4 linked regions of the Alligator mississippiensis genome follow. The protein of the gene in region 2 binds, or shares a complex with, the protein of the main gene of each other region. Links are inferred from orthologs where the notes say so. Each region holds a gene or a part of one and is shown on either strand. Other genes may lie near its edges.

Region 1 (7,064 bases), on a different chromosome or scaffold from region 2:
CAGTCCCTTGGGACGCAACTCATGTTCTAGTGGCTTCACAGCCCTGGGGGAAGGATGGGACAAGAAGGGATTACATGGCACCCCTAGTGCATCCCATGGTACTGACCCCTGTGCACTCCTCCCCCACACTATGACTTCTGATCCCACCCAGACAGTTCCCCTGAACTTCAACCCCAGAAGCAGAAAGAAGATTCTACACATCGTCCCTTCCTGACCTTCTCCCCAGGGTCACTTCTGGACCTCGGAAAGTGGTTGTACCCAAAATTCTCTCTGGCATCCCCCAGTTTGACCTTTGATGTCACAGGGCAGCCTCTGACCATACTCACAATCCTCTCTACCATATCCCACCTTGATCTCTGATTGTACCCACAACCCTCCAACACCATGCTGTACCCCTCGTTGCCCTGCTCCCTCCCCTCTGACCCTTGACCTTCCCAACTGCCACGACCTTTGCCCCCAGGGTCACTCACTGCTTGAAGGTATGGCCGATGCCCTCGCCCTCCTTCCAACCCATCCCCCGCAGCATGGCCAGACCATAGGCCTCCACTGGCACCTCTTCATAATCTGCCTCTGTGGCCTAGGGGGCAAAAGGGATACATCAGCCCACTGGGGTGGGGATTCTGTGGGGAGGAGGGAGTTCTCTGGGAGCTGGGGCCCAGAAGTGCGAGCTCTCCCCCTGCATGAGGCAGCTGGAGGCAAGGAGTGTGAGGGATGCAAGGCCAGCTGGGCCTGAGGGAGGGGGAAAGGGAGAGGTCAGAGTTGGACACCTGGGTTCTCTGAGAGGGAAGTGGGAGCCAGGGAGGGTAGTCAGGGAGAGTCTAGGAGCCTGGACACCTGGGTTCTCTGGAAGTGGAGTTAGAGCAGGGAGCAGTGTCAGAAACCTAGACATGTGGATTCTGCCCCTGCGTGGGTCACCTGGCACCAGGGGCAGAGAGGGGGGATATTGGGCCAGCTGAGCTGGGGGGCAGGAAGGGATCAGAGCCAAACACCTGGGTTCTCTAGAAGTGGAGTAATGGCTGGATGGGGTTACAGCCGGGGGACCTCAGAGCCCTGACACCTGGGTTCTTTAGATTGGGAGTGGGAACTGGGAGTTCATGAGCTGGGATACCTGGGTTCTGCCCCTGCATGGGCCAGCTGGGGGCAGGAGGTGGGTGGGGGAAATACAGAGCTGAACCTGGAGATTCCCTTACCGACTCAGGGCGCAGACTGACGTCCACATGGTCGCTGTCCTCGTAGCCACTAAGTACCCTGTTCTGGACTAGCATGGGAATGGTTCGAGCCAGGGAAGCCTCAGCACCAGCCTCCCAAACTTCCAGCACCCGCTGTGACTCTGCAAGGTACAGGGGAAGTATCAGAGCTAGATGCATGGATTCTTTGGGAGGGAGATGGAGCTAGGCATTTAGAGCAGGGAAGACTGGGAACCCAGGTATCTGGGTTCTCTGGGAGGAGTGGGGGCTGGGAACCTGGACACATGAGTTCTCCCCCAGCTCTGGCAGGGCATCTGGGGTGGTGGGGAGTCTGGACATTTGGGTTCTGCTTTTGAGTGGGCCAATGCAAGGGGAGCCTTTAGTTGACAAAATTAGCACTTTTTGGGGGGAAGCGGGAAGGGGAAGGGGCCACATCTAGCACCCTGGACACCTGGGTTCTCCCCCATTTCTGGTAATTAGAATGAACAAATACAGAATAAGAAAAAGCATGAAGGGGTGGGGAGACTGTACGTGTGGGTTCTCTCTCTGCTCAAGCATCAGGCTGGGAATGATGGCAAGCCCAGACACCTGGGTTCCCGATGCCCACTCACCCTCAATGATCTCCCGAATGGCCTGACCCTCAACCCTGTCCCCGCCAACAGGGTCTGGAGAAGCCTCGCCCGCTGGCCGCTTCCACTGGTTCGTCCGGATCAGGGGAATGACAAGTGCTGAGGGGGGCCGTGGGGCCAGGCAGACACTGTGGGGAGACAGCTTTCTGATGCCCCACCCCTCACAGCCTGAGGCCCCAGCCCTTTCTCTGCACATGCCCCCACCTCCACTACACTTGATCTGAGCCTTCAAGAGGCGGAGAAGGGATTTAACCATGCTCCTTTGCACTTCCTAGGCCCTGCCCCCTCCATCAAGATCCCCTCCCCAGTAGCCACACCTCAATGCCCCACAACCTCCCCAGATGACCATGCCCCAAAACCCTATAACCCCACAGAGGCCGACCCCCTCATCTACTGACCAGCCCCTTATCTTAATTCCAACCCCTGCTCTCTGGGGCCACGCCCCTTCCCCAACCCACGCCTCCAGCCTGCCCCTCTTCCTTACCCCGCCCCCTGCCCTAAGTGTACACGCCCTTTCCCCTCTGCAGGCATGCACTGTACGCACCATGGCTCAGATGCCCAGTGCACACCGACTTTTTCCTCGGTGCACGCGTTCTGATGTAACCCCTCTGCGAGGCAAGCACTTGGGGCAACCTAAGCTTCCACATTAAGCATGCGTCCAAAGACACCCAGCCTCTTCTCCTTCCTCCTGTGTTCATGGTCAATACAGCTCGCGCATGCGCCATTCCGCTTCTCTACCCCGCCCCCAGGGATACCTCTGGAGCTCCCGGTCCTCCATAGCGCGCACGAAGTCTGGTTCCGGCACGTGTTCGGTGGCGTCAGGCTCCGCGCAGGGTCCCGACTCGGGACCGGGCAGCCGCCTCCGCCCAGCGGCGGTGCGTGTAAACCCGAACGACACTGGTCCCGCTCCACCAGCCGCTGGCGCCGCCATCTTGCCGCACCCGCAGTCGCTGCCGCAGGACATCATGGGAGTCGTAGTCTCATCCTCGGAGCTGGCCCTAACTGGACGCAGTAAGGTTTCATGGGAATTGTAGTCCTCTCAGAGCCACGGCCCTCTAGTCGCGCCCGGAAACGCCACCGAAAAGTATCATGAGAGCGGTACAGCCGACTCACCGCGGCCATCATTGCCTCGCCTGGGGTTTGCGGTACACGGAATCATGGGAGTTGGAGTCCCCCTCTACTAACAGGCATTTCGAAGAGACAGGAAGGGTTGCCTGAATCTCCCATCATGCGGTGGGATCTTTGACGTAATACATAGACAGCATGCATTGGGGCTCCAGGCTAGAGTTACCAGCATGCACTGGAGTAGCCTACAGGTCCCAACTGCCCTGATAACTGCTCCCCCACCCCTCCAGCTTTGGGGAGGGGGAGCTGGGAGAGGGCTAGGGAGAGAAACCAGGTGTCCTAGCTCCCAGACCCATTTTGTTTAGTCACCAGACCACCCCCCGCCCCTCACTTCCTTTCATTTTGGGATGAGCACGGATTAGCTGCCCTGCCACCTAAGTATCCATCCCTCCAAAAAACTCCACCCTCCCTAGCAGCCTAGCCACAGGGGGCAAGAGGACGGTTACCTGGGCAGCGGCCCTGTTGCCTTGGCAACCCCCCCCACCCCACTGCCTGCAGCCTGGGTACCCAGCAGGGGATGGAGATGGAGGGCTTTTGCACAGGGCTGATCCCAAGGCTTCCCCCCCCCTCCCCCCACCACCACCACTGGCCTATGGCAGATGGGATAGGATAACCTGCTGGTTGGACTTGGATTGTCAAAGTTGGGGGACTGCAAATTGGGAGTGATGGAAGGGGCTGTGGGTCAGGAGTGAGGAGCACTGTGGGGAGGGTGGCCTCACCAGAGCTGGGGGCAGGGCTGTAGGGGGTAAAATGCGGCTTGCTTATGCTCTTCACCCCAGATCTGGCTGTATCTGAACACTTTTTTTTCTCCTTCCACTCTAAAGGCCTACAGGGACTCCCAAGAAGACTCCCCCACCCAACACTCATCTTGGGGCTCTAACAGAAGGCCCCCAATTGCACCATGGGGGGTCCCAGACCTCAGCCCCATAACTGGGGCTCAGAGAGGGGTGAGGCCTATGGAATCAGGTGAGTCACTGAGGGGCAGGTGTCACAGGGCAGGAGTGATGGGCACCCCAGGGCTATGGTGCAGAGGTTCCAGGACAGGAATGGGAGGCACCATAGAGCTGATGTGCGGGGCTGCAGATTGGGAGGGAGGAGAATTTTTATCTACCCCTTCCCCACAGCTGCAGCACCCCGTGGAGCCCCCCAGAGGTCAGAGTTCCCATGGCAGGGTCGATCACAACTACAGGAGGTAAGTGTAGGGGACCAGGAGTGGCAGCAGGGGGCATCATGTGGGGCTCTGATAACCTGGAGCAATGGATGACACTCTGGGACTATAGTCCCCCTCCAGATCACTAGGAGGTGACATGCAGAGCTGTATCTCCCTCTTTAAGCTACTAGGGGATGCCGTATGGAGCTGTATTTTCTCCCCAGGCCATTAGGGGTTACCATAGATCTCTTTATCCAGGCCATGGGGGAAGCTGTGTGGGGCTATATCTTCTCTTCTAAGCCACTAGGGCAGTGCTTCCCAAACATTTCCTCAGCATGACCCCATTTCCTCATCATGGCCCCTCACTCTCAACTCACAGCACACCCCCCCCTTGGGTGCCCCTCAATCCTGACCCACAGCTCCCTGGCTTTGCTGGTGCTCCTCATTCCCCATCTGCAGCCCCCCACTCTCCCCAGGTGCCCCAGGGACAGGGCCCTCACCTTAGCAGTGCCTGAGTTCTGTCTACCACCTGAAGGAAGCAGCAGCTGCTAAGGCCAGAGCATGAAGCCCGGCTCCCTGCCCTCCACCCCTGTCCCTGACCCCACAGGTGGTACAGCCAGAGTAGAGCCCATGGGGGTGGGAGGATGTGGGCTGTGGGCTTGGGGCTCGCTGCCCTGCTGCCTTTCCCCCAGGCCTCTGCAGCCCGGCAGACAGGACCTGGGAGAGAATGCCACGCTGCAACCCCATCTACTAATGTTGCGACCCTATTTGGGATCACAACTCACAGTTTGGGATCTGCTGAAGTAGGGAGTGCTGTATAGGCCTGTATATCCCCCTCCAGGCCACTGGAGGATGCTGTACATGGCCAGATTCTTCCCCCACCCCCTCCAATGTTCAGAGCTGCATTTTGCCTCCAGGCCACTAGGGGATACTGTGCAGTGTTGCATCTCCCCCACTGTGGCATTCAAGGGTACAATATAGGGTTGTATCTCCCCTTCCAGGCCACTTAGGCGGGGTGCTATGTAGGGCTGTATCTCCCCTCTGGGGCATCAGGGTGCACTATTTAGGGCTACATTTCCCTCTTCAGGCAGTTCCAGCTACAGCTTGGGGGCGTGTGGGACTAAATATACTTCCCAGGTCACTTGGGAATGCTGTACAGGGCCATGGTTCTCCCCCCAGGGAAACTGGGGGCGGGGGGGGGGTGTTGGCAGCCATGTCTCATTAACACCTGGCTCTCCACCCTGCAGTGAATGTGGTGGTGGTGGTGGACGGGAGCTGGGTACTGCAATACAGCCACCAAGGGGTGCTCCACTCACCTTCCCTATTAGCCTGCTGCCCCCACCCCTGCCTGGGGGGCAGGACCACAAGCAAGGAGGTGGGGGAGGGGGTTGGCACCTGCCTGTGCCCCTGCCCCACCACTCCCCAGGGGTCACTGGCATCAGGGCAGGGGGCACTCAGGGGGGACAGATCTGGGACCCCCAGTGCTGCCCCCTGCTGGGCAAGGCAAATGAGACTGGCAGTGGCCTGCTGTTCGTTCAGTGCCCAGGTCAGGAGCTGGGGGCAATGAGGGAGGGTAATAGGTGCGGGGGCATAGGGATAAGGGGTGAGGAGTGCGAGGGCTGTGAGCAGGGCATAGGGATGGGTCTAAAGCTAGTGGCAGGGAATTGGGGTGAGGGAGGAGATTCAGGGGGCTAAGGGTTGGGGGAGAGTTTAAGATTAAGGGATGGGGCATTGGGTGATGAAGGATGGGGAGGGACTAAAGTAAGGGGAAGGGTATTTGGTTAGAGGAAGAGCTAAGGCTGGAGGAGGGGCACGGGGGAGGCTAAGGTTGGGGGAGGGGCAGTGGGGTGGGGAAGGGACTAAGCCTGGGGCCAGGGCATGGGGTTTGATGGAGGAGTTAAAACTAAGGGAAATGCATGGGAGTAGGGCTAAGAGGGCGAGGGTATTGGGGTAGGGGGTGGGAGAGGGTCATGTGGGTGTGGGAGGACTGTGGGGTGGGGCTAAGGCTGTAGGGGAGGGGCAAGGAGTGGAGTTAAACCTGGGCAGGGACAGGCCCTAGAGCAGGAGAGGGGCAAGATGGCTGTAGAGGTATCTCTGAGGGTCCCTTACTCCACTAACCCCTACTTTCTCCCCCAGGCCCCAGGAACCTGCCCCCATGGTCAGCTGCTGGCCCCCACTGCCTGGGCTCAGGGGGTGCTGAGGAACTTGCTGTGACCAGCTTTGTGGGGCCTGAACCCCAGGACATCCTGCTCAGTACCCTCTGCAGGCCTCATCCCCCAGGGGGCACTGGTGTGGCAACCAGGCCCTGCCCCCGCACTGGTGAGTGAGAGCAGGGGTTGTCTGGTGCCTAAGGGGTTAACTCCTCACCCCTAGCTGTTATCAGCTGCTGCCTGGCACCACCTGTCTGCCCCTGGGTCCCTTCAGCCAAGGTCAGTCTGTTTGGCTTGGTTTTGGGAGGGACTTGCAGCCACTCAGGGCCTAATAGCTCCTGCCCCTCTGAACACTACCATGGTTGCCTGTACCTAAGCTTTGCTATGGGGCTGGACATGTAATTATTTCTAGGGGCCTGGAGGGAGCAGATATTGAGTGAGGGTGGGACTGGGGTTTTGGGGAGGGGTTCCTGACAGGGTGGGGCAGGCACCCCCAGCATGCTGGGCGTGGTATGAAGGTGGGAAAGGAGCATGTTGGGGTACACACATGCACACACACCCATGATGGGGTGTGCACACAAACACCCACACACCACCTTATTCTTCCCTCCCCACCACAGGCTCCTCCACCAGTGACTTGAATGGGCCTGATACTGATGTGAGGTCTAAGATTGGGGGTTCCCACCCCCTACAACCCCAGGTACTAGAGGGAGTGGGGATATTGATGGAGGAGGGGGGACATGGAATGGGCAGGGATCAGGGAAGGGGAATGGGGGGTTTGTCTGGGTAGTGAAGGGGAAGTGGGGGAGGTGGGGTGGAGTAT
Region 2 (7,743 bases):
TAGCTTGTGGAATATCTGTTTGCAAAAAACATAAAACATTTTTTTTTTCTGAATAAACAGTCATTTGAATATTTAACAGTTCTTCAGACATTTTTAATCAACCCTACATGATACATGTTTGGAAGCCACAGTATTTGGTACATCTGGTAATAATTCATAGGTAACAAAAATAATCATTCCAAATCCTGCAAAACTATAAACAAAAGCCAACACTTTGTACATCAATATCTTTGGAACTTCAAGTGTGCTCTAAAAAGGACAGTATGCAAATGAATAAAGCCCAACATTTCAAATAGCTCCAGATTTATCTTTATTCCCTTTCCATTTGTTTGTGGTTTTGTACCATGTTACCTCATTTTTAAACTCACTCCCCCTTGTTGCTGTTTTAAAAACCCAAAGACCAAAAGAAGTTGACTTATTATTAAGAAGAAACACTGAAATTGACAATATACCAAATGCTATCAGATTCACTATGTATACAAGTTTGGAGAGGACATTCCAAACACAAGTGGTAGCCAGAAGAAAAGGAGAGAAATGTCTGTGAAAAAAGATACAAAAAGAGGCCTTTCTACTGATATTACTTGCAAAGATGGCTACAATAAGCAGAGGAAAGCAGAAACAGGGCTCAATGTCAAGAGTGAAAAAAAAAATTAACAGAGAACATAAAATCAGTAAAGAAAGCCAAAATTGGAATATGGGGGTGATGTGGTTGAGGTGAGGACATTTTGGAATAGGAGAAGATACTTGTAGATGGGAGATACTGGGCATGTCTACACAAGATGTTTACTGTGGAGTTGCTCAATTAGCTCCACAGCAAATGTCTTGGTGTCTACATGTGTGGCCTATTAGGCTGCAGGAAACTACTGAACTCCACAGCAGGTTAGTACTTGTAAATACAGGTACTATCCTGCTGCAGTTTTTTTGTAAGCAACAATGCATCTGTAGATGCTGACCCGGCTGGCTAGGGCATGAAGGTGCTTTAGTGCAGGGGCTGCCTACTGGCTAGCCCCACACTGGAGCATACTTGTGCTCCAGCCTGCCCCTCTGCAGCATGTTGAGCCAGATGGGAGCAGGCCCAGGCTGGCAGAATGACCCCCCTGGGCCCCATGCCAGCCAGGGCTGCTCCGGTCTGGCTCAACTTTATGAGGTCCTGGGCACACATTCAAACAGCAGGCCTGGGAGGAATAAACTCCTGTGCGATGTGTGTTGGAGTTTATTGCTATGAATTAAATGCGCGTGTAGACATGCCCACTCAGGCCATGGACAAGCAATTTAGTTGGAGGACAAAAAAAAAAGGAAAGTAAGAGGAGGAAAGAATGGCAAGGCTTGGACAAGACTGATTTTTGAAGAGAGAAACAGGTTGGAGTTAGAGAGATATCCAGGCAGTTGGCATCAGGAACTTAGGATAACTGGGAAGAAGACAACCACAGATGAAAACATGGGAATTGCAGAGGATTTAGGAGGAATTTACATCTACCCATGTTGAAAAGGCAGTGAATTATCCAGGGTGGTCTAACAGAAAGAAGGAAATGCAAGACTGAGGCACAGGAGATGAGCAGTGTGAAGAACCTGAATAGCAACAATAAAAAGGTGATAGCTAACTGCACAGCAGCATGAGGGTATACAGGGAAAGAGAAAAGGCTAAGAACAAAGCCTTGAAAGACTCTAACAAAGTAGGGCAACAGAGAGAAACAAACATTGAACATAAGATGGGAAATGAACAATGAAACCTCAGGGGGGAGAGGGGGAGGAGGAGGGGGATATGATCGTAGAGCACAAGGATGGGATGTGGCAAAGGAGAGTGCATCCATCAATGTCAAAGGCAGCAGACGCATCAAAGGGATAAGACAAATCTTGAACTGTGTATACATAGGAGGAATATATTTTCAACTTGTTAGAGCAGATTCAGAGAGAAGTTACTGAGGGCTGATGGAAGGAGAAGGAAGCACGGGCAGCGGGGATCACTGCTCCAGATGGAACAACGGCGAAGTGAGAACAAGCCTGCAAAATAAGAACTGTCACCAGAAGTAAACACTGAAATAATTAAGCGCAGCATTCAGTTGCTTACCTGCTTTCTTTCCTCCATAGAAGTTTGTGTATTCTGCACATGTTATGTACCTAAAGAGAAGAAAGGAGAACAGTCAATTCTGGCTGCATTACGGGATAGCACTAACTCTGTTTAGCAGATATTAAGGAACTGTTGCTATTCGCTGGGACTGCCATTCTGAGAAATAAAATATCTTCAGCTACCCAAGGTTTCACCTCTTCACCCTCCATAGCCCCACTGGGGCAGTCGGCATCATGAGGCCCCGATGTTTGGCCTGGCGTAAGAGACAACACAACTGGCACCCGATGCTCAGTGCCACTTTGGGGTGATCCTGTAGCAGCAACAAGTGCGGTGGCACCACGGCCTGCCCCAGGAGCACTGCCATGCCGCTGCACGCATCCTAGGCTGTCCCGTCGGGTGGGACAACGAGCCTCCACAACCACACTGGTGCTCTGAGGCCTGAAGCGTTTCCTCGGGTGGTCTCCGGCAGCCGTTGCTCTCGGAGCTGCCGGAGCCTGCACGCTCTGGAAGGCCGACACTAGCAAAGCTCCCAAAGGTGGTGCAAATAAAACAACTCGGAAGTATGTCCAGTGGAGAAAGCTCCTTCATGAAGCTTGTCCTTGGCACCTAGAGGTGCCATTCGTGATTCGTGCTCCCCTTCGCCGCTATGAGGGACAAGACTCCCAACCCCAGTATTTACGCTGGCGCCCCCCATCACCTGCCCACCCTCTACCCCCCCCTTCCAAACGGCTCCAGCCCAACGGTCCCTGCGCCCCTCCCCCTCACATCTTATCCTTCTGGTGCTGCCTCTTCCCCATGGCGGCGGCGGCGGCGGCGGGGGCTGCTCTGAGAAGACACCGCCGCCCGCCCGCCCGCGGCGGGGGACCCCTGGCTGTGCCCGGGTGCGCGCGGGGCGAGCCCGGCCGGAAGGAGCCGAGGGCTGCGAAACGCCTCTCCTGCCCGGAAGGCCGCGGCTGCAGCCACTTCCGGCCAGGCGGCGTCCCACGGCACAGGGCCCCGCCGGAAGCCGGCGCCGCGAGGGAACGTTCCGGCCGCCTGGGCGATGACTGCAGCGGCGGCTGCCCCCGCGTCTCGTGCAGCTCGAGCAGTGCCCGGGCCCTGCGCCACCTCCTGCAGCCGGCGCCCCGGGGGGGCTGCCTTGCTTTTCCTGGCAGGGTCGCTTTGGGCTGTAAACTGAGCTCCTGCCCAGAACAGCTGTGTACCAAACCGCGAAAACGTTTGAATTCTTTCTTCCTATACGTTCTCCTTTTTCTTCTCCACTTGCAAGTTCATTCAAAATGCAGCAGGACGCGATGGTGAGCTAGTCAATAGAAGACACAAAAGTCCCTATGAAACCAGACACCTCGTTTAAAATGTTACTGTCCATCCACTCCTTGCTCCCCAGCTAAAACGAAAGGACTTTCCCCTCTGCTTCTTCCCTGGGCCAGACTCCGGTGCTCCATTTGGACTAGCCTGATCACTAGAGGTCCTACATGACTAAGGGAGTTTTCCTGTTTCTCACCCAACAGATGCGTTACTAAAATCCTTTTATGCAATCAAGATGATCAGCTCCAGAAAACAAGTTCATTAACCTGCAAAAGCTTTCTTACTTTGGAAGCCCAACTGCTTGCTAGCCTCAACAGTTTGTAAAAGCCTCAGGTGTTGAGCCCCGAGGTCAAACTTGGCCACTTCCGAGGTTAATTTTTGGAATTAACGGAAAGTCCAACAAGACCATGATGTGGCTGAAGGCTTCAAATTCACAGCGGTACACAGATCCATGTTTGGTTTTGACCCAGCTGGCTTTGGGTTTTCTATTGCAGTTTCAAAACTGTTTCATACGACGGTCCAGCATTTTCAGATTTCTGAGAGTGGGAGGCTCTTGGTTTGATTCATACAAAGTCTTTTAGTGGGCACTGAGTACAAACATCAAAGGAAAACATAAATTCACCCATTTGCACTGTACACATACTTGCCATTTTAATTATCAGAATCCTTAGTTGTATGTGGTAATTTCTTTATTCATTTCCATCCAACTTTAATTTTTGCCCCAGAAATTAGTGTTGTGGTTCCTGTTGTATGAGCCAGCAGCCACTATCACCAAGAGAATCTCCTTGAGAATGTGTTCTGAGATCAGATCAAAGACCAGATTGATGTTGTGGTGGACTCTGGGAAAGTGAGAGAGAAAAAAAAAAAGGGAAAGAACAAATTGGGATGTGGAACTGCTATTTTAAAACCCACAAGCATCATAAAGGAAAAAACCCTGTAGATTAGATCAGATTTAGAAAAAGCCACCAATAGTCTTCTTGCCTTTTGTGCCAGATGTAGGGGTCATTAAATAGACAGCTCACAAAGCAATCTTAAGAACGCAAGTTCAAGCCAGTAAAGACTTTTATCCTGTTTTGATTCTTCATGTTTAAATTGGGCCTGGAACATTTTTAATTTTGAAGCATTTTTCTTCCACTCGCATTTTTCCCCTAACATAAGGGTGTCAAAGATGCTCAGAGGATTATAAAAGATAGGGGGTCATCTAATCCAATGCCCTGCTCAGGCAAAACCATCCCCAACTAGATATCCCGGGCAAGACTTTGTCTACCTGGGTCTTAAAAACCTCTAAGTATGGAGATTCCACCACCTCTCTGGGTAATCTGTTCCACTGCTTTACTACCTTCCCCATGAGAGTTTTTCCTAATATCTAACCTAAACTTCCCTCGCTGCAACTTGACACCTTTGGTCCTTGTTCTGTCATCTACCACCACTGGGAACAGTTTAGCTCCATCTTCTTTGGAACCAAAGTAATATGCAGACTTACTGAGGGTGCACTCCATCCCATCTTCCAGGTCGTTGATGAAGATATTGAACAAAACCAACGTGAGGACCCATCCCTGGGACACTCCACTTGATACCAGCTGCCAACTAGACATCAAGCCATTGATCTTGATGATCCAGCCAGTTTTCTATCCACTTTGCAGTCCATTCATCCAACCTGTACTTTCTTGGTTTGCTTGTGAGAAGGTTGTGAGAGACCTATCAAAAGCCATGCTGAAGTCAAGTTTTATCACATCCACTGCTCTCCCCATATCCACAGAACCAGTCATCTCATCAGAGAAGGCAACCAGGTTGGTCAGACATGATTTGCCTGTGGTGAATCCATGCTGGTTGTTCCTAATCATCTTCTTCTCCAGGTGCTTAGAAATGGATTCCTTGAGGGCCTGCTCCATGATTTTTCTGGGACTAAGGTGAGGCATCACCTCAGTCCCTGTAGTGCAGGAATGGGCAAAATGCAGCCCGCCAGGCCATTCTATCCAGCCCACGGGGCCCCTAAAAATTTTAGAAAATTAATATTCATCTGCCCCTGACTGCCTGTCATGTGGCCCTTGATGGTTTGCCAAAACTCAGTGAACAGCCCTCTGCCCAAAATAACTGGCCACCCCTGCTGTAGGGTGTAGTTCTCTGAATCCTTCTACTTCCCTTTCTTAAAGATGGGCACTATATTTGCCCTTTTCCAATCGTCTGGGACCTCTCCCAATCACCATGTTTTCAAAGATAATGGCCAGTGGTTCTGCAATCACATTAGCCAACCCCTCCCCTAGCACCCTCTGGTGCATTGTGTTCAGGCCCGTGGACTTGTAACATCCTGCTTTTCTAAATAGTCCCTAACCTGTTCTTTCATCACTGTTGGCTGCTCCCCAAACTGTGTTGACAGGTGCAGCAGCCTGGGAGCTGACCTTGCTTGTGGTAAAAGATTGAGGTAAAAAAAGGCATTGAAGACTTCAGCCATTTCCACATCATGTCACAAGGTTTCCTCCCCCTTCAGTAAGGGGCCCACACATTCCCTGATCTTCCTCTTGCAGCTGACATACTCATATAAACCCTTCTTACCCCTTGCTAGCTGCAACTCCAATTGTGCTTTGGCCTTCCTGATTTTATCCTTCTGTGCCCAAGCAATACTCTTATACTCTTCTTGTAAGATTTCTTTTTGTGTTCTAGCTCACTGAAGAGTTCCCTGCTAAGCCAAGCTGGTCTTTCGTCATAGTTGCTAGTCTTCCTGTGTATCAGGATGGTTAATTCCTGTGCCCTCAGTAAGGTTTATTTAAAATAAACTCCAGCTCTCCTGGACTCCTTCCCCACTCAGACTGGCCTCCCAGGGGGATCCTGCCCATCAGTTCCTTAAGCAAGCCGAAGTCTGTTTTTCTGAAGTCCAGGGTCCTTACTCTGCTGCTCTCCTTCCTTCCTTTCCTCAGGATCCTGAACTCTATCATTTTATGGTCACTACCACCTAAGTTGCCATCCACTTCCGCATTCCCCGTCAATTTATCCCTATTTGTGAGCAGCAGGTCAAGAAGAACATGGCCTCTAGTTGGCTTCTCCAACACTTGCACCAGGAAGTTGCCACTAGCACTCTCCAAACACTTCCTGCATTGCCTGCACACTGCTGTATTGCCCTCCCAGCAGATGTCAGGGTGATTGAAGTCCCCCATGAAAACCAGAGCCTGTGATTGGGAAACTTCCACTAGCTGTCTGAAGAAGGCTTCATCCACCTCACCCTCCTGGTCTGGTGGTTTATAACACATACTAGAGGTGCACCGATACATCGGTCCGATATTGGATCAGCACAGATGTAAAAAAAATTGATTGTATCGGAAATCGGCCTGATATGGCCAATAATTTGGCTGATAAATGCCCGTGTAAGTGCATAGCCACAGTGCAGCACACAAGCAGCAAGTACAGTCCAGCAACTTGGAGAGCTGCATGCAGCTGGTAAGTCTGTTGTGGTAGAAAGGGAGGGGGGAGGGAAGGGGTGTGGGGGGTGCAGATCAAGGGCCCTGTGGTAAGGGAAGGCATGGGGCTGTGGCAGGGGTTAGTGCTGCTCAGCTGGGTCAGGGTAGGCACAGGATGGAGCCACAGCTCATCTGGGGGGTGCAGGGCAGGAGTGGGGCCGTTCCTGCTGCTGCGTGTACCCTGGGAAGGCATGGGGCGGGGCAGGTGCCCCTGGATCTACGCAGGGGAAGGGGGCTGCAGCTGCAGGCTGGGGCTGCACTGGGCTCTTTCTGGCATGTAGGGAAGCAGGGGTTGGGCCAGGCTACGCTCAAGGTGGGCAGCAATGGCACTGGGAGGTCTTTGGGGGAGGTGTTTCTACGGCAAAATTTGGGGTGGCTGCAGCCACCCCCATAACTCCCCTCCCACCACTGCCGCCACCCATCCCAAACACAGCCTGGCCCAGCCCCACCCCCCCGGAAGAACCTGGTGCAGCCCTGACCCCAGCCCACAGCTGCAGCCTGCCCCACCCATGCCCCACACAGATCTGGGGACATATGCACCCCACGCCCTCCCGGGGTGCATGCAGCAGCGGGAGCTGCCCTCCACCCCATGCCCCCTGGACAAGCCATGGCTCCATCTTGGGCCCCATGCCGGCTGGGCAGCGCCAGTCCCAGCCCCAGTCCCACTCCCTCCCTCACCACAGGGACCTTGATCTGCCCCCCTGCCATGCCCCTTCCCTCCCCTCCCACAACAGACTTACCAGCTGCACACAACTGTATTGGAAAGTGGATCAGTATTGGTCAATAAGCCTCCTTAAAAATTGGCTATCGGTATTGGCCCCCAAAATCTCTATTGGGGCACCCCTAATAGACACCCACCACAATGTCACTCTTGTTGCTGTCCCCTCTGACCTTAACCCAGAGACTTTCAACAGGCCT
Region 3 (7,875 bases), on a different chromosome or scaffold from region 2:
AATTTAAATAAAATTATTCCAGTCAAACAAGGCCTGTTCCAATTAGACAAATGGACTTTATCTAATCAGATTTCTGATTGTCTAACCAGTCTTGCATTTGTCTAACCAAAGATCTAAAAGAAATCTTAAAAGAAACTTAAAAATTTATTTCTGGACTTTCCAGGCAGCACTTTTTAATGACTGCAACCTTTGCAACAGCTCTACGAGAAGTTTGCAATGATTCAGCAAAGGGAGTTTAAGCCATTTTCAGTAGACTTCAGAAAACGTTCCTTTTGGTAAAAGTTACCAAGATTCTTGAGTCAAGAGGCTCTCTCAAAATTCTTTTTCTTACAGTTTTAAAAATGTTTTTATTTCTTCATTTCTATTCATTTAATCTTAATTTCTAGTGGTGTTTTCAAAACACTGATCTTTTAATATTATATATCAACCGAAAATGAGACAGAATGAATTAAGCATGTCCATGAAATATCTGGCTTCAATTAAGAAAAGAACATAGGCATGTCCTTCAGTCTTGCCCTACTATTGGGGATCAATGAGACTTAAACATGTACATCAAAGTGTTCTTGAATAACGATAAACTTGGTGTCTGTGACAAATTTTCCATTAGGTTCAGTAAGGGTATTCACATGAGGAAATTTGAAGGCTGTCATAAATTGACGGCTATCATAATTCCAAAGAGCAACCACATGTGATTAGAAGAAATAATGTAAAGAAAAATGTGAAACCTACATTTATGGGAATGGAGGTATCATAGGAAAGTAGTGCTAGAAGGGGCCTCACAAAGTCTCTTCCCTCAGCCCTGTGCTCAAGGTGGGATCTTCCCTGACTAAAGCAGCCCAGCCAAGTGTTGGTCTAATTGACTTTTGAAAACTTCCCAAGGATAGAGGTTCCACAATTTTTCTAGGTAGCCTGTTCCAATGCTTGACCACCCTCATAGTCAAAAAGTTCCTAAATCTCACCTGGTGAGGTCTGAATCCATTGCTCCTAGTTCTGTCCCCTACAGTCACAGAGAAAAGCCCATCTCTACCCTCTATAATAGCTCTTTAGGACAGCACAAGTACTTTCAAACTGGTATTTGAAGACTGTTATTAAATCCCGCTCTCAGTCTTCTCTTCTCCAGACTAAATACCTCTGGCCCTGTCAGCCTTTCTTTGTAAGTCTTACTTCCCAGACGGCTAATAATTTTTGGTGCTCTCTACCAGACTCTTTCCAATCTGTCCATGTCCTTCTTGAAGTGCAGAGCTCAGAACAGGATGCAGTATTCCAGGTGAGGCCTCACCAGTGCTAATTACAGCATAAAAACCACTTCCCTTGGTTTGCAAGTGACACTCCTGTTAACACAACCCAGTATGCTTTTAGGTTTTTTTGGCAACAAGAGCACGCTTTTGGCTTGTATTCAGCTTCCGGTTTACTGTAACCTTCATATCCTCTGCCATACTACAGTCCAGCCAACCATTCCACAGCCACTCATTTTCCTTGGAGGCACAATATCTTTAAAGATATCATGGAACTCAAAGACACAGTTTTAAGACTAACTTAAGCAGCTACATACTACTGCACATCCAGAGGCAGGCTTCAGTCTAAATAAATGAAACATTTGTAAAGGGTTATCAAGCTACTGATGCTAAAAACTAGGAAAGGCCCAAGTAAAACACAGAAGAGGCAGCAACTATCTGAAAAGGAAGAGAGAAAAGTACAACAATGTGTAGCCAATAAAAATTGATCTAAAGTGCCACTGTTACATCTTCTTTATGACTGCCTTGTGGCTCTGTCAATCCTGCCTCTCAACTCCAGTTTTTCTTTTACTCCCACAAGCATGCCCCCATACCAATTCCTATGCTTTCTATTCCTTGGACTGTCCAACATGATCCTTCCTGCATGTCACACAGCCTCTCAATCTTCCCTCAAACATATCCTCTTAGCCCATCTTTACTCACAGAACAATGTTTAGAACATATCAGGAAATGAGTTCTGTACCACCCAAACATTCCACAATGTCTCTTGTATATTCCTTCTTCCTAACAACCTTTTAACTTTATTTCTTTCTTCAAATTCTTTGTCTAAAAATCTGTCTGTTTAGACTTTGTTTTACGGGTGTGTGCGCGTGGGTGTGTACTGTATACTTATCATTTGTCCCGGTGAACTTATTTGGTCCATTAACTGCATTAAATAGAAATATACGTACAGTTCCTTGGGACAAAAAAATTAATCGAAAGTAGTAATCCTGGCCCATATCAGATGGCTTAACTGAAAAATGAAGCCTAGTTTTTTTTTTTTTAAATCAACCTCCTACATTCACTTTATTGTCAGATAGATTTTTTTTGTTTTATTTATCCTGTGTCTGATAGATTCCACTTTAAATGATGAAAAACATGATGCATTTTGTCCAACAAGGTTTCATTTTGCATCTCCTCTGTTATGCTTTCCTACACACAATTTGCTGGCTGGCTGAGAAAGCAAGTGACCAAAATGGTCAACTCCATTCAGGTTGGAATTGCGGGACTTAGAAAAAAGCAAAAAAACCAAACCCCCCACCATTTCCTCCTGCTATTTTCATAGAAAGTTTTCTGAACTCGTACCAGCTGGCTTGGTTCAGTTTAGAAAGGACAAAGCCAGCAGTTAGAGTTCCTGTAATACACAGCTCTACAACACAGCCCTCATCCCCTCCCACTCCTTTTACTTAGCAGTGTGAAAAAACATTTGGATTGAAATGGACCGGTTCCATTCCCATGACTGTTTTCTTCTGGACTTGGGGAATTTTGCTGAAAACAGGAAAATGTTAAGAAGATTTATTTCAAGGTTACTGATGCTGCTTTCTAGCAAAAGTGCACACACTTTTTTTTTTTTTTTTTTTTTTATATATAATCGACTCTTGAATGAGTCTCCTCGTCCCTTTAATCTTGTGAGGAAATTGAATCGCATCTTTTCCTTGAAATGTTTTCCTATTATTAATATCTGTGGGTGACACAAAGGGTTTGTCCAGACCTTGACAGTGTATGCTGCATTTTCCCTGCAACCTTCTTGTATTCTACAGGGAGGGGAAGGGGCTACATCCTACACTGAACTGGACTCTCTTCAGGTACAAGTCTCTACCTATAGCAGCAGTGCTTGGCAACATTGTCTTTAGATACAAAATTACTGTATTGGAAGCTCAAAAATTATCATATTTGCTGAAAAAAACTAACGTACACTGAAAAAATATGCAAACAAGTCTTCTTTGTATTTACTTTATATTGCTCACTGTAAATCACCAGTGAGTGACAACTGGGTCATCAAAGTTGAAGCCTTTCTTTATTTCAAGGCAAGCTGCCATAAGAAATTGCTGACAGCAAACCCAAAAGTCAGTTAAGACTAGAGTTACCATACATCTGTTTTTTTCTGGACATGTCCTCTTTTTGAGTCCTCCCATCTCTGTCTAGATGGTTTTTCTAAATATCAACAATGTCTGGGATTTGGGATTTTGCTCTGTTCAGCACTGAAGCTGTCCCTGGCACTGGGCTGCAAAGGACAGGGGAGATGCCTGCTGCTCCAGCAGTGGAAGGGAGAGGGGAAGGGGCAGCAGGGAGCTATGGGGCCAGCCAGGGTGCTGTGGGTCTGGAGTGAGGGAAAGTGGTAGGGCTGGAGGGGTGGGGGGTAAGGGGGCTGCAGGTTGAAAGTGAGAGGATCCCAGCAGGGCGGGGGATAGGGGGCTGCAGGCTGGGAGTGAGGGACATGGTGGGGGGGAGAACAAGGGACTGTGGGTCAGGACTGCAGGGAACAGACAGTGCCAGGGGACTGCGAGTCAGGAGTGAGGGGCATCAGCCGGGACAGGGTGGGGGGAGCTGTGGGTTGGGACTGAGGAACAGCAACATGGTCTGAGGGAGGGGGACTGTGGGTTGTGAGTGAGGGGCAGAACCAGGGCACAGGCATATCACTGCCCCCCCGACAGGCATCCTCTTTTTTGAAACAGGAAATATGGTAATCCTAGATAAGACTCTCTGAGAGGGGCCTGGGCTTGGCATATGCTGCATCAACTGTCTCAAAAGTGATCAGGGATGTATCAGGTAGCTATGCTGGTCTGAGACAAAAAGAAATGCAAAACTCGAGAACTCGGTTCAGAGATGACACCTTTTATTAGAACAACTAAGAAATCGCAAGAGAATGGTTGAGGTATCACCTCGGAACCAAGAGTTCTCGAGTTCTGCAGTTCAAAACTGATCGTACATGTTGAGCACTTGGACTATTACCCATCTCACATCCTACAAGGGACGAAAGTATCGTACAACTATAATAATCCTCGTCCCCCCGGCCACGACCTCCCGCCCCCGGGGGCTGGGCGGAGGCTGCGGGGCCAGATCCTGCGGCGGGGCTGGTGCCCGTGCCCCACACCCGCGGGAGCCCGGCGGGCAGTGACGTCACGAGGTGAGGGAGCGCTGCTGTCACCATGGCAGCTGGGGCGGACTGCGCGTATCCCACAATCCCTGCCGAGGTCCGCCCCCGCAGGCCGCGGATTGAGCCGACCCGTACCTGCTGCAGGCGGAGGCGGGCGGCCAACGCCGCGGGCAGGTGCAGGAAGCAGTCCCGGCTGCCGCACACGGCGACGGTCACCGCTGCGCCGCCGGGGCCGCCGCTGCCCCACATGCTGGCGGCCCCGCTCCGCTGCAGGCGGCCTGGGCCGGGCCGGGCCGGACCGAACTCTCGGGGTTGACGCTACGCGCAGCTCCCCCGTCCGCTGGTAGACGACGAAGTCCAGGTCTCTAGCAAGCCGCACCCCTCCCCGCCCGCACACATTGGTACGGCCCATCGCAGGCCAATGGGGTTGCGCCTCCCACTCGCTCCCTCTCTTTCATTGGCTCTCACTCCAGTCCGGTGATGCGGCAGGTCTCCTCCGGCCTGATGACGATTCCCCCCAGAGCCAATGAAGGGAAATCAATAGCTCCACCCTTCCCTGATTGGCTGCTGTTGGCAAGCCGCCCGGCGCAGGAGGGGAGGGTAGAGGCGGAAGATGGCGGCGGCGACGGGCGCCGAGGTCGGGGGCGCGTGCGGGCATCACGCTCAGCGGGACGTCTGCGCCTCGCGCGCCAAGTACCGCGAGGGCCGCCGGCCGCGCGCCGTGAAGGTGGGAGCGGCGGTGCGCGGGTCAACCTGGGTTGCGCATGCGCAACGCCCCATAGCGCCGCCCTTCGGGCAGCGGCGGCGACGGGCTGGGAAGGGAGAGGACGCGGGTGGATTCGCGCCACCCTTCCCCCCCCCCCAGTTTCCGGCCTGGTGCTCTCTTATTGCACTCACTGTATGGCTGGCAGGTGTTAGATGAACTTTTGGGCATGGCGCACCCTTCAGGTGATCCAGAAGTCTCTGTGTAGGAAAGCCTCTGACATTTCCAGCTATATGGTTAGTCCGATAGAAGATGTCAACCGAAAACCCATGTTACTTTTCACACCTTTCCTGGACTGTCATGGCTGCAACAAAACTCCAGCCCTATTACAAGAAAGATTTGGGACTCTTTCTTTGTCAACACCACTTTAATTGGCCAGAACAGTGACTTCTTAGGGTTGCAGTGAGCTCTACCAGGAATTGGTAGCCTTTTGCTGACAGCAACACAAATGAATGCAGCCAGGGAGTCATAACTCCTTAATTTGACCAGCCATTGCCCACTGGAGTCAGGACAGTTACCTCAACTTGCCCAAGACATGGCATGTGCTGCATGGCATGCTACTGCCTAAGCTGTTTGCGGGCAGGCTGCCTGCCAGGGCTTCTAGGAGATGCCTGCCCCTTGGCTACATGTTGCAGAAGCAGCTGGCGTGAGTTTTCTGTGTGCTTGGCTCATTCCTCCTTGGGAAATGTGGGATCAGAGGGTCTGCAGAGATCTGCTGTGTGGGAGCCCAGGGGGAGGGAAAGGAGGCGAGCAATGAGCAGGCAGCTGGTTTTTGGCAGGCCAGATAAAATCTTGCAGGCTGAATCTGGTTTGTGGACTATAGGTTGTCAACCTTTGTACAATATAAAACAGGGGTGGTCCAACCTTTTTGAATGTGGGGCCGGATCACAAACTTTTTATCACCCAGTGGGCTGGCAAGCCATATTCAAAGACCTCACAGGAAGTGGTATCACATCAGGAAGTGATATCACGTGACCTTTGACACCAATGAAGTTGCAGGAAGTGACAATGAAATAGGTTTAAATAACCAGTTCAAAACTCTCCCTCTATAGCATCCACCTCTGCCACTGTTTGGGGCAGGATATTGAGCTAGATGGACCATGGGGCTGACCACGCATGGTGCTTTTTATGCTCTTATGTTCAGAAGCTCTTATGTTCTTTGGCTGAGTTTCCAAACTATGGCTGAGATTTGCAAAAAGGGGTAGATAGGCATGTTACAAAGTTGTCATAAAAGATTTGGAGCCCTCTAAATCCCATTAATTTTAATGGAAGTTGGCCTTTTGACTCAGCTTTGAAAATCTCAGCCCAAGGTGCCAACCAAATAAGTTAAAATTTATTTTTCACTTCTATGCAGTGCGTCTATGTGGGGCTCTCCAAGCATTTTACAAACATGAAATGAACCTCAGGATGAGCCCAGCCAGAGGAGCAGGGGCTCAGCTGCACTTTCCCCCTACCTGCGCTGGTCAGTCTGGAGTGGCACATGGCTCCGCCGCCACTTCTGCTGGTTGGTGCTGACCCAGGCGGGTCTGTCCCATCTGGAGCAGCACGCAGCTGAAGCTGGCTTCCCATGTGCCACTGGGGATGGGAGGAGCCCGGCCGGGTTGGCACCAGCCAGCAGAAGTGGCTGCGGAGCTGTGTGCCGCTCGGGACTGGCAGGCGCAGGCAGGGGGGAAATGCATCTGAACCCCTGTTGCTCCAGCCGGGCTCGTCCCGTCCTGAGCGACACACGGCTCTGCCGCCGTTTCTGCTGGCCGGTGCTGTCCCAGCCGGGCTCCTCCCATCCCCAGTAGCATGTGGGAAGCTAGCTTCAGCTGCATGCTGCTTTTTCTGGCCGGTGGCTGGGTCCATCCCACCTGGAGCAGCATGCGGCTGAAGCCAGGTTCCCATGTGCTGCTGGGGATGGGAGGAGCCCGGCCGGGTCTGCACCAGCCAGCAGAAGCGGCAGCAGAGCCATGTGCCACTCGGGATGGGACGAGCTTGGCTGGAGTGGCAGGGGCTCAGCTGCATTTCCCCCTGCCTGCACCTGTCAGTCCTGAGTGGCATACGGCTCCGCTGCCGCTTCTGCTGGTTGACAAATGCCCATGTGTGCGTGCAGCTGCAGCACAGCATGCAGGCAGTGAGGAGCACAGCCCGACAGCTTGGAGAGCTGTGTGCAGCTGGTAAGTCTATTGTGGTGGAGGGCATGGCGGGCGGGACGTGTGCCCCCTGTATCAGGGTGGAACAAAGCAGGCTGCAGTTGCAGGCTAGGGCCATGGGCCGCAGGGAGGGCTGGGCTGGGCTGCACTCGGTGGATATGCAGTGGCGGCGCTGGGAGGGAGGGGTATGGGGGCTACAGAGAAATTTGGGGTGGCTGGAGCCCCCTGCCAGTGCCGCAACCTGCCTCAAGCACAGTGTGACCCAACCCCCCACCCACCAGGAGGAGCCTGGTGCAGGCCTCAGCCCACAGCTGCAGCCTGAGCTGCTCCCCTTCCCCAACCCCCCTCCGCCCCCTGACAAGCTGCAGCTCCGTCCTGTGCCCACCCTACCCTGGCTGGGCAGTACGTACCCCAGCCCCACTTCCTCCCTCACCGCGGGGGGGCATTGATCTGCCCCCACATGCCCCTTCCGCCTGTCCCCTCCCCATCTGGATGCAGCTGTATCGGAAATCGGATCGGTATCGGCTGACATACCTCCTTAAAAATTGGCTATAGGTATCAGCCCCCAAAATCTTTATCAGTGCACCTCTAAAAAAATTGTCAATT
Region 4 (7,107 bases), on a different chromosome or scaffold from region 2:
TCTCTCATCGTTAAATTCCCTCTCTGCTTGCTGCTCACGGAGGTTCTGGGAATCCCTCTCTCTCTCGTGACCTCGACCTCCAGGCCTTTCACTGGAATTTTTCCTTCTGTCCGAATGGTCTCTGTGTCTGTCTCGCTCTCGTCTGTGTTCCTGTTCGGGCTGGTCTCTGTGCTTTCGTTCGTCGTGTCCTCTGCGGGAATGATCATCTCGCTCCTGGAACAAAAAGACATTAGAGTGACCTATTCAGAATTAAGGGAGAAAGAAAAGGCAGGGAATGTTGTTTAGTCTTTAGAAAAACAAATCACAATTTAATATGAGAAAACATACAGACTCAACACACGCTGTATACAGACTTTTGCTGAATTAAGTTTTGATAACATGACTGACTGAATGATCACTGAATAAATAATTGTGAACTCAAGTTTCAGAAATGAAACACAGGCAGAATTGGTTTTAAATGATTTTACTCTAAAATCAGAAGTTCCTTAATTCTTAGCTGTTCTGTCTTAGTGTAACTCAAAAATGATTCAGGTGCCATCATGTTAGGTGCTGCGTACGCAGAGGGCAAAAAGTATCGTTGGCCAGCACAGTTTGAAGTCTCACAATAAAGTACTAGATAACAAACAGCTCTGTCACTTCCACACATGGTAAAACACTAATTCAGCCAAATTTAACAAGTGTTACTCTACTGCTGATATGTACTAACACAACACTTAGAAACACTCTCAAATTTCCTTATTCCTTTTCCTTTCCACACTACAGACACTTGCAGAAATGACGACTCCTTCGGAGATCTTCTGGCTCATCGTCTTACTCCCCACCCAAAACTCAGTAGCACAAATTTTCCTACTATCCTAATACACCAACAACTTTGAGAGAATCTGTTCGTGAATCACCTCATTTCCCAATGCACCAAATCTTGGGTCCCACACAAATGCCACTGTTCTGCAATTCCAGTTTTAAATGATTAGTGATTTAATCAACAGGACAGGAGAGGGAAGGATCTCCTTTAGAAGAGCAAGCACATGCCTGTTTGGAAGCATCCTACTACTTTCTATTGCTGCCGAGAGGCCCCAATTCAACACGCTACACGCTGCGCTGTGCTGTACACCCCTCCCCCAGTGTCAACACTATTCTGGGGAACTGGACCAGCTTAAAGGGCGAGGCTGCATGAGTGACAGAGGCCAGATTAACAGGTAATCCCTGCAAGCGCTCAAACATTCGAGGCAGAGTTTGTGATGGAGCTGGCTGTACTTTTGCCCATTGCTGCAAGATAACTACACTCTAAACTTACGAACGATCAAACTATCACCTGACCCCCAGGTGTCTTTCCTGCCTGGTGCAGGGGACTGGACCCGATGGTCTGCCGAGGTCCCTCCGACTTTACAATCTATGAAAAAAACCGTGGTTATCAAGTAAGAAACTAGTCGCCCCACCTTCTTCAGATCCTGCTGCTACAAATTAACCCGCACACCTGCTCTGTATGGCTGCACAGGACCCCTGGGGTTTCAACAGGTTATAGCCAAAGTAACAAGCAGGATCAGGACCTCCCCGTTAAATATATTACCTGCTTTACTTTGACCACAACATGATGAGGGCTTCTGCTTCTTCGATTGCGAGGAGACTTGCTTCTTCGACTGGAGGATTTATTTTTTCTTTTGCCCGGTGATCTTAACAAAGCAGAACAAAACACGACACAACTGAGCTGTCTGGCCCACGTCACGCAGAGACAAAGTACGTTTGTGCAGCGGTTAAGCAGCGATTGAAGCTTGACCTAGTAAAATGGACGTTAACAAGCTGGAGGCTTCAGAGCAGAGGAGAGAGGCAGGTGGACGAGGCAAGCGCAGGACCACGAAGCTGCCGAGGCGGCCGCGAAAAAGGCGACCGTAAACGTCTCTCTCAAACGAGGCACTTTCAGTCGAAACGGAGATTTCACGCGACCACAAAGCCTCACCTGCCAGGCGGGGTCAAGCACTCCCGAAAAGCGCATCCGCACCGGGGCGCGGATGGGGACGGACTCGGGCAAACCCTGGGGGCTGGAAAGCTGCGGCACGTGTCGCCTGGCACGGCCACGGCCACGGCCACGAGGGGACGCGACGACGGCCTGCAATCCGCCGCGAGTGTCAACCTCAGAGGGAGGAAAAGCTGCCAACGCCAAGGAGCGACCTGGGCACCAGAGCGAACGGAGCGGGTACAGCTCGCCTGGGAGCCGGGACAGGGTTTGTAGCCGCCGGGAGATGCCGGCCCCCTCCCAGCGCTCCACTGACACCCCTCCCCGCCGACACCCCTCTCCACAATTAAACATTTTAAAGCACGACCGAGACCAGCGGCTCCTCGTCCGCGGCGCGGAGACCCCCGCCAGCCGTCACCGCCGACAGGTTTATTGTAACGCCTTGACGTGAGAGAGGCGCGCGGGGGGTGCTCGAGATGGGATCGTTTTAAACCGGTCGGAGTCGGGGAGACGTGGATCGGCACGGTGCCGCGCTGCTGATCGCTACGCGACGGGCGGACAGACGGCCGGCCGGCCGAGGAAGGAGGGCAGGGCTGTGTCCGGTCGGGAAAACACGGACGAGGCGACAGGAAGTGAAACACGTCCCGCGGCCCCGGTGTCCCGTCCCCCCAACCCCCCCGGCGTGGACCTGCTCTCGCGAAACACGCGGGAAACGCCTTTGCGGCCTCCGTAGCCACAGCTGCCTCTCCGGGGGGGGGGAGGGGTACCTGCTGGCCCTGTCGCGGCTGCGGGCGGCCTGGTGCGGGCCGCGCCCCTCGTCGGCCGGCGGGGACTGGCTGCCGCGGGCCGAGCGGGCGCGCCGGGGGCTCCGCGGCTCCTCCCGCCGCCGCTTCTTGCGGCCCCGCTCCAGCTCCGCCGCCTCCATGGCTGCGGCCGGGCCGGGCCTAGGCACCGCGCCGCATCCGGATGCTGCCTTCACACTTCCGCTTCCGGAGGTGAACGGCAGCAATGGCCCACTTCCGCTTCCAGGGATCCCCGCCGACCCGGAAGTGCTCCCGCTTGACCTACCCCTGCACGGCGCTTCCGGGGAGCCAGGCCCCGCCCCGCGGCCCTGCCTCAGGGCCCGCCCTCGCGCCGCCGGGGAGGGCAGAGGAGGGGAGGGCGCGTTCCCCCCCCCCCCCCCCGAGAACAGCGCCAGGTGTAGCACGTGCGGACAGGGCCGCATTGCGCATGCGCCCTCTCCTCCCTCTCAGCGTGCTGACGTCACGGCGCCGAGGCGTTGCGACGCGTCCCGGCTGGCGGGTGGGCGGGTTGCCATGGTGACCGTACACAGCGCCGGGGCCTGGGGCCGCCGCCATGATCCCCCCGCCCGACTCGCTCGTGCGCTACGAGACCCCCGCGCTCGTCACCCGCAACGCCGACAAGCGCTCCCCCAAGGTGGGCGTGCATGGGGGTGGGGGGAGCACAGGGGAGGGCTGGGGGGCAGAGGGAGGTCGGCGGGTCCAGGGGGTGAGTATGGGGGGGCAGGGGGGTGAGCACGAGGGGGAGGGGCGGTCTGGGTGTGCAGGGATTGAGCGTGGGGGGGGGGGGGTTGGGGGAGGTCGGGGGGGCCAGGCCCAGCCGGGGGCACGGTCGCAGCTCACGTCCCGTCCCGTGCGGCGGGGTCGGCAGGCGCGGGCGCTGAAGACGCTGTCGCAGCCGGCGGCGGTGCCAGGCCCGGTGCCGCCCCCGCCCAAGGCGCGGTCTCCGTGCGCGGCGGCGGAGCAGGCGAAGCAGCAGACGGAGGAGGTGCTGAACGCGATCCTGCCCCCGCGGTGAGGACGGCCCCGGGGGGAGGGGCGGGGGGGTCGCCGCCCCGCGCCCCGGCGCGTGACCCGGCTCGCGGCCAGTCGTTCCTGCGGCCCGGCCCGCGTCGGCCGCACGAAGCGTTTCTCGCCCGATCGCTCCTGTGATCTTTGCATCCGCGGCCCTTCTCCGGCCACTGCCCCGGGCAGCACACATCCCCGGGCGGACGCCACGGCCGTCTGAACAACCCCGAGGCGCTCGTGAAACGAGCACTTCCCATTTGCTCGGAGATCTGCTTGGTTAAATCCCCTGCAGAGGCAGGTCCCGAGCGGTCGCTGGTCGCGGCCAGCGCTCTTACAGCGACGGGGCTGTAAAGGCGGCGATGAATGTCTAATAATGAAATCCGTGCTGGTTTTGTGGTGCAGAGAATGGGTGGAAGACAATCAGCTCTGGATCCAGCAAGTGTCGTGTACACCCAGCACACGGATGGACGTGCTGCATCTGCAGGAAGAGCTGGACCTCAAGCTGCAGCAAAGACAGGCTCGAGAAACCGGGATCTGCCCCGTCCGCAGGGAGCTGTACTCGCAGTGCTTCGGTCAGTGAGCTCTCCCGATCCCTAGCAGCACGAGCCAAAGGCACATGGGACTGAGAGCAAAACACTGGAAGTGGCCGAGTAGACGAGCTCGGGGGAATGGCAAATGGAGATCTCCCAGTAATACTGTGGGCTGTGGTCCAGCCTCGGCCAGTTGGGAACAGAGGTTATTACCATCTACTGCGTGTAGGGGCACCTGTGGGTCTCGGGTCGGTCCCAGGCGCGCAGGTGTACTGCTAGAACAAGCAAGCTCTACAAGGACGTTACTGTGGCAGCAGGGCATCGGCAGGGTTTGTTTCAGATTCGCTTGGTAGCGAAAGACTTATTCAGACCCATCGCTCTGATGCTGCAGTAACTCACAGATGAATCCAGGCAGTTTGCTAAACGTTTCAGTGACACCGTGCTAGTCCTCTGCCTGCCACAGCCCAGCACGGGACACTGTGGGAAGGCACCAGCCATAGGGGTAGGGAGAGTGCCGATTGTTACCGATGATCTGTTCATTTTTTACCAGTAAGAAGCTTCAGGCCTAATCGCTGACCTCAGAAGCCTCCGTGTCGTTATAGTTCTTGTGGGAACTTTGGCAGGGGGCTGCTTCAGGCCCTTGTTTTTCCTGATGCCCACATCCGTTTCCCCCTCTCATCTTCACTTCCGCCCTTTTTTGCTTAAAGACGAACTTATCCGTGAAGTTACCATTAACTGCATAGAGCGGGGAATGTTGCTGCATCGGGTCCGAGATGAAATCCGAATGACCATTGCTGCCTACCAGACCCTGTACGAGAGCAGCGTTGCCTTTGGCATGAGAAAGGCGTTACAGGCTGAGCAAGGCAAAGCAGATATGGAGAAAAAGGTAATTGGGGCTGCTCGCTCCCGCGTGCTCCTTTCTGCACGGGGAGAAATGAGCTAACCTTTGTACCCGGTCTTTCAGGCTCGGTAGATCACATTCTGCCGTAGGTGTTAGAGCAGTCTGACAGGTGTTTTAAAACGGGCTCCCAAGGGAGGTGGTGCTCTCCCCTACCCTGGGGGTCTTCAAGAGGAGGTTAGACGAGTATCTAGCTGGGGTCATCTAGACCCAGCACTCTTTCCTGCCTATGCAGGGGGTCGGACTCGATGATCTGTTGAGGTCCCTTCTGACCCTAACATCTATGAATCTATGAATCCCCATTTCTTACATTTGAGTCACTTTCCCATTTCACAGATAAACGTGTTATTTCAATTTTCCACTCAATTCAGTTTTTTCTGGTTCCACTGGATGGCAGTAAAGCTCATCCAAACAAACCTTTTTCTCCCCCCCCCCGGCCTATTTATAATATAATATTTATATTGCCGCATAGAGTGTTAAACACACAGCTGTGTCTTAATTGTACTCCCAAAGTGTAACAATGAATGCAAGCAAGATCTGTGTTCATTTCAAAGATTGCAGAGTTGGAAGAGGAGAAGAGAGAGCTGGAAAGACAAGTGAATGAGCAAAAAGCTAAATGTGAAGCTGTTGAAAAACGTGAAATTGAAAGGCGGCAGGTAGAGGAGAAGAAGCATGGTGAGGAGGTCCAGTTCTTGAAACGAACCAATCAGCAGCTGAAGGTCAGTAAAGAGACCCCCACTCCCACCTGCAAGTGGTGGTGGGAAGATAGGGAGACACGGAAATATTGTTTGCGTCTTTGTTTCACTTTCTTATAAATAAAAAAAGCCCAAGTTCCAATTTAACTGACACTAACATTGTGCTTTCGCTGAACCCTCAAACCTCCCCGCGCTTCTGTAGGAGGAAGACGATCGCAATAGTAGCTCGAGTGAGCCCAGCCTTCTGGTGATCAGTTGGCTGAGTGGGGAACACATTAGGCCCAGCTGGGGCTGAGATGCAGAGACAGTTTAGGCTTACAGATCTTTAGGTGATCTTAGAGTTTGCACTTGAACACTGATAGTTCCTCAAGGACCAAGTTCCTGCATGCACCTGACTTGAGAGTTACCTTAGGTGGCTGTGAGCAGAAAATACCAAGTTGCTGAGAATGCACTGCTCCCTCAAAGCCGTTTAAAAACAGAACAGGATGTCCCACGAAGTCAAACCAGGACCACAGGGTGACTTTCTTTGCTATTGGTCTGACACCTTGACAGTTCTCTTTGCACCAAGAGACACGGTAAAGAGAACAGTTGCCAGAAGGATGAAACCCCTGTCTTTTGGCACAATAGAGCCTTTTCTTCCATCCTTATCCAAGACCTCACCCAAGTAACAGCAGGCAGCGGGAACTGGGTGCTAGGCATCACTGGCAAGAGAGGCCTTGCTGTATGTTTGCGGGTCAGGAGGATTCTTGTTGCAAAGAACCTTAGAAAAGACGCTGTAATAGGGAACAAATCGTAAAGTGACATTCCTTTAGTCCTTTGGTTTCCAGATAAGGAAGGGTAGCAGGAGCAAACCCTTCTGCCTGGTGCACACTAGAACCGTGCTGAGCTTTCAGATAGGTGCTTGTGCCGCACATCTCAATTCAGCTTGTGCTTCCTTCCACTAGCAGCCCAGGAAGGAGAGCAGCTCAGGTCTGAACGTATCCCACGAGTGAGTCACCACATACTTGTCTTTCCAACCCTGTCTTTCAACAGCAACAGAACCAAAATCCACGTGGGAAGCATCACTGCATTGTCTTGGGGCTTCCAGGCACTATGGATCATAAGCAGCACGGAGGCTGGAGCGGTGCAGGCTCATCACCTGGGTTCCTAGGGTAGCAAGTGTTTGCTTGGCTTGGTTCAGAACGTACTTCTTGTGTTGTCATCAGTAGCATCCTTCCTCTTCTCC

Evidence for each region.
Region 1: PPIL2 (region 2) and GPKOW share a complex: the UniProt entries of both Homo sapiens proteins name them as parts of the minor spliceosome. The link is inferred for Alligator mississippiensis from reciprocal best matches to the Homo sapiens genes PPIL2 and GPKOW.
Region 3: PPIL2 (region 2) and RBM48 share a complex: the UniProt entries of both Homo sapiens proteins name them as parts of the minor spliceosome. The link is inferred for Alligator mississippiensis from reciprocal best matches to the Homo sapiens genes PPIL2 and RBM48.
Region 4: PPIL2 (region 2) and SNIP1 share a complex: the UniProt entries of both Homo sapiens proteins name them as parts of the minor spliceosome. The link is inferred for Alligator mississippiensis from reciprocal best matches to the Homo sapiens genes PPIL2 and SNIP1.

The regions. Positions count from the first base shown.
Region 1 is NC_081831.1:28,334,584-28,341,647, forward strand, and holds the start of GPKOW (G-patch domain and KOW motifs-containing protein), read right to left. Parts: upstream 3,004-7,064; 5' UTR 2,976-3,003; coding exon 2,930-2,975; intron 2,828-2,929; exon of another isoform or gene 2,819-2,827; coding exon 2,572-2,818; intron 1,945-2,571; coding exon 1,799-1,944; intron 1,331-1,798; coding exon 1,191-1,330; intron 578-1,190; coding exon 471-577; intron 44-470; coding exon 1-43. UniProt on the Homo sapiens protein: RNA-binding protein involved in pre-mRNA splicing. As a component of the minor spliceosome, involved in the splicing of U12-type introns in pre-mRNAs.
Region 2 is NC_081833.1:14,803,151-14,810,893, reverse strand, and holds the start of PPIL2 (RING-type E3 ubiquitin-protein ligase PPIL2), read right to left. Parts: upstream 3,016-7,743; 5' UTR 2,866-3,015; coding exon 2,834-2,865; intron 2,119-2,833; coding exon 2,069-2,118; intron 16-2,068; coding exon 1-15. UniProt on the Homo sapiens protein: Has a ubiquitin-protein ligase activity acting as an E3 ubiquitin protein ligase or as an ubiquitin-ubiquitin ligase promoting elongation of ubiquitin chains on substrates.
Region 3 is NC_081828.1:175,536,482-175,544,356, reverse strand, and holds the start of RBM48 (RNA-binding protein 48), read left to right. Parts: upstream 1-4,869; 5' UTR 4,870-4,984; coding exon 4,985-5,098; intron 5,099-7,513; exon of another isoform or gene 7,514-7,875. Other genes in the region: peroxisomal ATPase PEX1, read right to left, coding at 4,507-4,620. UniProt on the Homo sapiens protein: As a component of the minor spliceosome, involved in the splicing of U12-type introns in pre-mRNAs.
Region 4 is NC_081829.1:913,325-920,431, forward strand, and holds the start of SNIP1 (smad nuclear-interacting protein 1), read right to left. Parts: upstream 3,003-7,107; 5' UTR 2,877-3,002; coding exon 2,719-2,876; intron 1,671-2,718; coding exon 1,568-1,670; intron 214-1,567; coding exon 1-213. Other genes in the region: DNALI1 (axonemal dynein light intermediate polypeptide 1), read left to right, coding at 3,308-3,388, 3,623-3,765, 4,162-4,331, 4,997-5,175, 5,742-5,906. UniProt on the Homo sapiens protein: Required for pre-mRNA splicing as component of the spliceosome. As a component of the minor spliceosome, involved in the splicing of U12-type introns in pre-mRNAs. Down-regulates NF-kappa-B signaling by competing with RELA for CREBBP/EP300 binding.